Macaca mulatta: one gene and its partner. Each later gene encodes a partner of the first gene's protein in a complex. Links are inferred from orthologs where the notes say so. Each region holds a gene or a part of one and is shown in the gene's direction. Other genes may lie near its edges.

What was found.
Region 2: the proteins of TJP1 (region 1) and GJC1 are in contact, whole or in part, in a crystal structure (PDB 3SHW), measured with the Homo sapiens proteins. The link is inferred for Macaca mulatta from reciprocal best matches to the Homo sapiens genes TJP1 and GJC1. Residues at the interface, in NP_003248.3 of Homo sapiens: Lys429, Ser432, Val433, Gly434, Leu435, Arg436, Leu437, Gly449, Val450, Leu451, Val484, Leu487, Leu488, Leu549, Asn551, Gly552, Lys553; in NP_001073852.1 of Homo sapiens: Lys391, Thr392, Ser393, Val394, Trp395, Ile396.

The regions. Positions count from the first base shown.
Region 1 is NC_133412.1:8,707,961-8,711,768, forward strand, and holds part of TJP1 (tight junction protein 1), read left to right. Parts: intron 1-206; coding exon 207-376; intron 377-2,173; coding exon 2,174-2,648; intron 2,649-3,808. UniProt on the Homo sapiens protein: TJP1, TJP2, and TJP3 are closely related scaffolding proteins that link tight junction (TJ) transmembrane proteins such as claudins, junctional adhesion molecules, and occludin to the actin cytoskeleton.
Region 2 is NC_133421.1:69,206,562-69,211,045, reverse strand, and holds the start of GJC1 (gap junction gamma-1 protein), read left to right. Parts: upstream 1-1,641; 5' UTR 1,642-1,828; intron 1,829-2,135; exon of another isoform or gene 2,136-2,407; intron 2,408-2,674; exon of another isoform or gene 2,675-2,938; intron 2,939-4,484. UniProt on the Homo sapiens protein: One gap junction consists of a cluster of closely packed pairs of transmembrane channels, the connexons, through which materials of low MW diffuse from one cell to a neighboring cell.

The DNA.
Region 1 (3,808 bases):
TTCTTAAAGTATTTGTGTGTGTGGACATTTCTTGTGCCGATAAATGGTTGAATCTGTTTTTATATTTCGGTAGAGTAGCTACCCATACTCACGAGAATAAATTGTGAAATTTCTAGTTAACTTAAGAGATACGTGCAGAAATGAGAACTTGTTTTGTAAATGTGAGTCCATTTTCAGGTGTTGGCATTTTCTTCATTTGTTAACAGGGGAAAGCCTCCTGAAGCTGATGGTGTAGATAGATCATTTGGTGAGAAACGCTATGAACCCCTCCAGGTCACTCCCCCTCCTCCTCCATTGCCCTCGCAGTACGCCCAGCCATCTCAACCTGTCACCAGCGCGTCTCTCCACATACATTCTAAGGGAGCACATGGTGAAGGTAGGAAGTTCGGAAGTAGACATTATAACACAGTAATGCTTAAGAAGTAAAATTCTGGTGGTTTCTAGGCAAAATGGTTTTTACATTAAAAAATACATGATTGAAACCTTTGGGCTGGGAACAGTAAAAACTAAGAATTTTGTTAAAAGTATGTCTCCTGTTTTTACAAGACCATTATTTTGGACAAGCCTTTTAGCTAAACAGATTTTAATCTGTTTTGTGCTAGTCTCAATCTTGTGGAAGTAGTGTTTGCCAGTATATCTAAAGATGGTTTGTAAAACGTATTGTTATGTTTCATCTTCACACACCCAAATAGAAAAGCCATGGTGTTTCACAGAAGATGTATCCCATAGCACCTTGACTTTTGCATTTACATACCAGGTAGATCACATACAGCTCCAGCTTATTCATCTTAAGAGCTGTGTAACGTTTTACCCTCAGCGTGTAACACAAAGTGTTTATCTCTTCTGCCGTGAACAGGCATTCTCGTAGCACAGACTTCTCTCTTATTCCATTAGGAGGCACCTCCCAGGATTTGAGTCTTCAAGCAGACGTGTTATAGTTCTGGATTGAGACTTACTAAGATTTTGTTTCACACACGACCATGTTTACAGATGAAGACAGTTTTAATTCTTACTTTCCAGTCTTTATGCTTTTTCTTTTTTTCTTTTTTTTTTTCCTCTCTCTCTTTTTTGAGACACAGCCTTGCTCTCGCCCAGGCTAGAGTGCAGTGGCACAGTCTCAGCTCACTGCAACCTCTGTGTCTTGGGTTCAGGTGATTCTCCTGCCTCAGCCTCCTGAGTAGCTGGGACTACGGCGTACACCACTACGCCCAGCTAATTTTTGTATTTTTTGTAGAGACAGGGTTTCATCATGTTGGCCAGGCTGTTCGCAAACTCCTGACCTCAGGTGATCTGCCCACCTCGGCCTCTCAGGTGCTGGGATTACAGGCGTGAGCCACCGCACCTGGCCTTCTTTCTTTTCTTGCTGATTGCACTGGCCAGGACCTCCAATGAACTCTGAAACATAAGTGGTGAAATTGGACCTCTTTTGCTAGTTCCTGATCTTAAGGAGGAAGGACTTCATGTTTTACCCTTAGAATGTTAGCGGTGGGATTTTCGTCGATGTCCTTTGTCGTGTTTAAGATGTTCCCCATATTCAGAGTTTGCTGCAAGCAGTTGGTCAGATGTTTTTCCTGCATGTATTAAGATGACCATATGATTTTTCTTCTCATACTGTGGTAAATTATATTGCCATGTTCATGAGGAATTTGGATTAGTAGTTCTCTTGTCTTGTAGTGTCTTTAATTATTTCACAGAGTTCAGTTGGTACTATATTACACTGCCTCTGCCGGCACATAAAAAATCCTGTGGTTCCACTTCTTAACCAACATTTGGCATTATCAAACTTTTCAGTTTTTCCATTCTAGTGTGTGTGAAATAGTATTTAATGCTTTTGGTTGGTTTTGTTTTACATTTTTCTAATTAATAGTGAATGTCCTTATTATATGGTTATTGGACATTCTGGTTTTCACAAAGACTAGTGCCAGTCTTTGGAGGCCAGGAATCTTAGCAGCTGGACCCTGACTCCAGGGCAGCAGGGTCTACCCATGGTACCGCCTGTCAGTGCTGCCCTCATCCCTCAGCACCACACCTAGCCTCCGGGGCTCAGGAGTCAGCCTCTGGCTGTGCGACTCACACTTGGGCCTCGACTCCAGCACCAGGACAAGTTGAGCTGGGAGAGGGCTGTTACACCTTTTTTCAGAAAGGTTTTTAAATGCTTATGTTTGTTTTTCAGGTAATTCAGTGTCATTGGATTTTCAGAATTCCTTAGTGTCCAAACCAGACCCACCTCCGTCTCAGAATAAGCCAGCAACTTTCAGACCACCAAACCGAGAAGATGCTGCTCAGCCAGCTTTCTATCCCCAGAAAAGTTTTCCAGATAAAGCCCCAGTTAATGGAACTGAACAGACTCAGAAAACGGTCACTCCAGCATACAATCGATTCACACCAAAACCATATACAAGTTCTGCCCGACCGTTTGAACGCAAGTTTGAAAGTCCTAAATTCAATCACAATCTTCTGCCAAGTGAAACTGCACATAAACCTGACTTGTCAAAAACTCCCACTTCTCCAAAAACTCTTGTGAAATCGCACAGTTTGGCACAGCCTTCTGAGTTTGACAGTGGAGTTGAAACTTTCTCTATCCATGCAGAGAAGCCTAAATATCAAATAAATAATATCAGCACAGTGCCTAAAGCTATTCCTGTGAGGTAAGACTTTTGCCTTTGCTCAAAGCATTGCCCCTGTGATTTTTCTCATGTGAGTTTGTTGTAGTTTATTTGACTTGGGACTTTGAAGTGATCTTTTTAACTCAACCTTTAAACTGAAGAGTGTTGTTGCAATGAATGCTGTTACATAGAAGGTCCTCCAGGAGTTACAAGATGTTGGTAAAATAATAAAGCTAACAGTCATGTATGGTTGGTAGGTATTGTCATCATCCCTGTTTTACTAAAACTGAGGTTGAGTGACAGTAAGCAGATTGCCCAGGGTCACACAGCTCGAGTGAGGTGAGCCTCGATTTAGCTGCTGGTCATCCAACCTCTGAGCCCATGCTTTTTTTTTTTTTTTTTTTTTTTTAAAAAAGACAGAGTCTCCCTCTGTCGCCCAGGCTGGAGTGCAGTGGTGCGATCTTGGTTCACTGCAACCTCCACCTCCTGGGTTCAGGCGATTCTCCTGCCTCAACCTCCTGAGTAGCTGGAACTACAGGCGTGCACCACCACGCCCAGCTAAATTTTTTGTATTTTTAGTAGAGAGAGGGTTTCACCATGTTGGTCAGGCTGGTTTTGAACTCCTGACCTCAACTGATCCACCCACCTCGTCCTCCGAAAGTGTTAGGATTACAGATGTGAGCCACCACACCTGGCCTCTTTTTTTTTTTTTTTTAATCAAGACAGAGTCTCGCTCTGTCACTCAGGCAGGAGTGGCGTGATCTCAACTCTCTGCAACCTGCAACCTCCGCCTCCCAGGTTCTAGCAATTCTCGTGCCTCAGCCTTCCAAGTAGCTGGGACTACAGGTATGCACCACTATGCCCTGCTAGTTTTTGTATTTTTAGTAGAGGCGGGGTTTTGTCATGCTGCCCAGGCTGGTCTTGAACTCCCAGGCTCAAGTGAGCCTCCCAAAGTGCTGGGATTACAGGTGTGAGCCACTGCACCCAGCCGAGAACCCATACTCTTAACCAGCCATGGCCTCTTGTATTCTCCTGACCTGCTGTTAAGGGGCATGTGGAGGACATCTAAAAACGTTAAATATCTATGTTCCTCTTTCATTATTTGTTCCACAATGATGCTAAGAAGAAAAATAGAATAGCCCTGACTGTTTAAAGAGCAGCAGTTAGTAAGATGGCTGAGCAAATGAGACAGAGCAAGCCCT
Region 2 (4,484 bases), on another chromosome or scaffold:
CTTCTTTTTTAAAGAGATGGGGTCTCGCTCTGTCTTCTAGGCTGGAGTGTAGTGGCATAATCATAGCTCACTGCAGTCTCCTGAGTAGCTGGGACTACAGCCACCACACCCTGGGATATCATTTTCTGAGCCTCAACAGTAGATATTGCCAGTTTTGCATAGTCCGCTGGGTGCGGTGGCTCATGTCTGTAATCCCAGCTCTTTGGGAGGCCAAGGCGGGGAGATCACTTGAGGTCAGGATTTGAGACCAGCCTGGCCAACATGGTGAAACTCCATTTCTACTAAAAATACAAAAATTAGCCAGGCATGGTGGCGGGTGCCTGTATTCCCAGCTACTCCGGAGGCTGAGGTAGTAGAATCTCTTGAACCTGGGAAGTGGACATTACAGTGAGCCGAGATCACCCCACTGCACTCCAGCCTGGGCGACGGAGTGAGACTCTGTCACAAAAGCAACAAAAACAACAAAGTGATTTATGCTAGTTTACAGTTGCAGGCTGTGAGAATTTTAATATTTTATTCAACAGGTACAATGATGTTGTTTACTGTGTTATTTTAGTTACATGTTATTTATTATTATTTCCAGGTATTTTCAGGGTTTCCACCCTGGTCATTTTATTTTTTTCACTTAGTTTTTTGAGACAGGGTCTCACTCTGTCGCTCAGGCTAGAGTGCAGTGGCGCCATCTCAGCTTACTGCAGCCTTGCTGGGCTTGAGCGATCCTCCCACCTCATGCTTGGAGTAGCTAGGATCACAGGTGCGTGTCACCACACCCGGCTAATTTTTATATTTTTTGTAGAGATGGGGGTTTTGCCATATTGCCCAGGCTGGTCTGGAACCCCTGGGCTCAAGCAATCCATCTGCCTAGGCCTCCCAAAGTGCTGGAATTACAGGCGTGAGCCACCGCATCCATCCCACACTTGTCATTTTAAATACATCTGTAGAGAGGCAATGTGATAAGACGTGGGGACAGACTACAGCAATCACAGGGAGAAGTACTTAAATGCTCCTAGGCCAAGCAGGTCATGAAATGATTTAAGTAGCTGAGTGGGGACATTGCCTACCCGGACAAGGTGACTCAAGAGGAGCTGCCATGTGAAAAGAGCAGCTCAAAGTAAGCACGTTTTGACTTTTTAGGGAGGCCAGAAATCTGGATTTTAATATTTTGGTAATTAATTCATATTTTTGGAAAACACCATACTGGCCACAAAAAACTGGTCAGTGCATTAGATGCCTAGCCTTCAAGTTTTCCACTCTGCGGCTAGCCCTTAGGGCTTGGCTTTGGGTTGGGGAGTTTGACTTGCAGCAAGTAACCTCACTTGTTAGCGCTTAATTTCCTCTGGTCAAAAGGGCAAAATAATAAAAGCCTATCCATCGGCATTCTGATGATCAGATGAGATAATTCCAGAGGTCGCCCATCTCTTTACTAAGCCTTCCTTTATTAGCCAAAGTCTCACTCTACTTAAAGCATTTGGAGAATTTTCGGTTTCCTACTGGGCATTTTAAAACTGGGGATTCCTATGCATGAAAAATTTTCCCAAGTCCTCTGAATGGGACCCTGCTGGGATGCAAAGAGTTAAGAGGAAATAGCCTATTAGGGTCTTGCTAATCCGAGAAGTTCAGGACCTGAAAAGTATCTAGAGCACTTCTAAGAGCCCCGACTCAAAGACGCTAGGGTAGCTAGATCCACCCAGGGCCCGCCAGATCCTCGAGGAATTGTAGAGCAGAACCTAGGAGGAGACATTAGCATCCCGTGCTACAATGGACCAAGGCCTCGGCGGAGCGCGCAGAAGACAACTCTGGGCCCGCTGAACCAACCCAGGATACCCAGGTAAGGCGAGAACCCACGGCGCCGTTAGCGGCCAGCTCAAACTGAGGCGCGGCTAGCAGGGGACTCTCGCCCGAAAATCAGCTTGGAGGAGAACTGCCCGGAGCGAAGTCTGCGCCCACCCGGGGTCCAAACTCCACGCGGGTGACTCACACGCGCGCCGCGCCTCCCCCGCGTCCCGGACTATCCGAGAGCACGGCGAGGACTCGACCGCGGAAAGTTGGCGCTCCCGTCGCTTCCCGCGCGTTCCGGGGCGCCCCCTCCCACTCGAGCGCCACGTGCCGCGCGCCCCCCGCTCCCGGGCCGCGGCGGGATGCCCCCGCCCCCACCGCAGCGCGCAGTGCGCAGGCGCCTTCCCGCGGGTCCCGGCGGCGGGAGCGGGAGCGGGAGGCGGCGGCGGCGGCGGCGGGAGCGGCTTCTGCCTCGGCTGGAGACTGAGGCGAAGGCGGCAGCGGCGGAGGAGGTGGAGGAGAGGCGAGGGTGAAGGCGAAGGCGATGGCGACGCTGGGCACATGAGGCCGCGGCCGGCGGGACGGGCCGAGGCCCGGCGGAGGAGGCGGCTCCGGGGGAACCCGCCGCCGGGTGAGGGGCGGCCGCAGGGCCGGCTGAGGAGAAGGGGGCCAGGGGCGGGGTCCCAGGGGGAGGCGGGAGAACTCGTGGGGAGCCCGAAGATGGGCCGAGGAGCACCTCCGGAGGTCCAGGGAAGAGCGCGGCCGGAGCGGGGGGAGGAGGGGGGCGCCGCCGAGGGGTTCCCGCCGAGTCCGGAGGGGCGTCGCCGGCCCGCGTCCTGCCACTGCCCCCGGCGCACCCTCCCTCTTTGTCCCCAAGCGCGCGGCTCCCAAATCCGGAGGGAAACGGCTCGGGGGTGTCTTGGGCCGCGGAGTTGTCGGGGGACTGTCGGGGAGCCCGGGCAGAGGCGGCGCGCACTCGGCGGCGCCCCGGCGGTGCCGACAACTACTCGGGCGGTTAGGGGCGCAGGGCGGAGCCGGGCCGCCCCTCGCCACCCGGGCGCTTCGCGGGCTGCTCTTTGTCTCCCCGACTTCGGTCCCTGAGTCTCCGGCCGCTTTCCGCATCTTCCCGCTAGAACTCCTGCCTCTCGGGGGTTAGAGGAGGGTTAGTTCGAGGGCTGGAAGCGGGAAAGCGGGGCGGAAGGACTGGGCTCATCGCCTCCTGATTAACTCGTTTTCTTTACTTAAAATGACTTTTCCCCCACTTTGTCAAACTTTAGAGAACGTGTGTGTGTGTGTCAAACTTTAGAGAACGTGTGTGTGTGTGTGTGTGTGTGTGTGTGTGTGTGTGTGTGTGTATCCTAAGTCTCTAGCTTCAAAATTAAGAGTAGGCGCTACCGCTGTGATTGTGGGCAGTTGTGTGGTTGTCGACTGCGTTTGGAGCTCTGAGTTGAAAAGATTTACGTGAATGTATGGTTGAGATTTTTTTTCTTTTTTTGCGATTGTCTGATTGGGAGTACTTTTCCCTTGCGAAATGGGCGAATTTGGTTTTTCTTTTTGTTCATTGAGAACTGGTAGTAATACGGATTTCATTGTGCTCATGCTTAATTTTGTTAACATCAAGACGATGTGAAATCGAGTAAGTTTGAATAAGTTCTGGCTGAGGGTATGCCTGATAAGTCTAAATTTGTTGTATGTTTGTGTCGTGTACACGTTCAAGTGAGTATATGAAAGCGCTATAAAAAATCAAACTATATAAATGAAAGGGATTTTAATTTCCTAATAAGCAGGAAACAGCATATCTCCAGTACATTAATATCTGTAGAAAAATGCGTTAATAATGTCATTTAGGAGTAAAATATTTCTCTCCCTAGGGAGGGTTTAGGTATTATTCAGAGTAAAAGAGTAAAAAAATTTCAACCTCAGAGGGTATGGAAAAAAAACAGAAAAATACCCTTACTTCCAGAACTCCTGATTAAAATACTGTGAGTTGTGGGTTAAGTTTACTGATCTTTTTAAAAACTTAGCATAGAGTTGTATCACTGCAGTTGCTTTGGATGTCTTAAGTACTGTGTAATGGCAGAATTAAAGAAACACGAACTCTTCTGGGTAGAAGGTAAAAAGCTCCGATAAACAGATCTTAGTTTTAAGTTTTCCCCAGATTTTTGTGCCCTGAGTGCTGTAGGCAAAGGGCGTATTGAAGAGATACATAGAAGTTATATGCAAGGTCTGTTAATATTTGTCCTGATTTGTAATGGCTTAATATTATTTACTGCTTCAACTGTTGTGCAATTTTCCAAAGCATTTCAAACATCCTTTTCAAAAGTTAGCACTTTTAACTTTTGAGGTTGTGTGACTTAAGAATTGTTTTCTACCAGGTAGCCACCACAGTTCTCTTAAAAAAGAGCAAAGGACCTGGTAATTTTCTCTCTAATCAATTCATGAAGGTAAAACTGAGTTTTAGCTTTTAATTCAAAGGACTTAAGTTAACACATCTCCAACATAACAATCTTACTTATAAGCTATTATCCTTTGTCAATTAAATGTTATTCTTTTATTTGTATAAGTCAGCCAAAGGGAAGGAATGCAGGGTTCTGTTTCTGATTAGTCCACTTCCCCCCAGGTCCAGGCTTGCCTATCAATCAGTTCAGTAACGAGGATCTTAGAATACAGGATATATAATTTAAATCCAGAGCATCATTATCTTAACA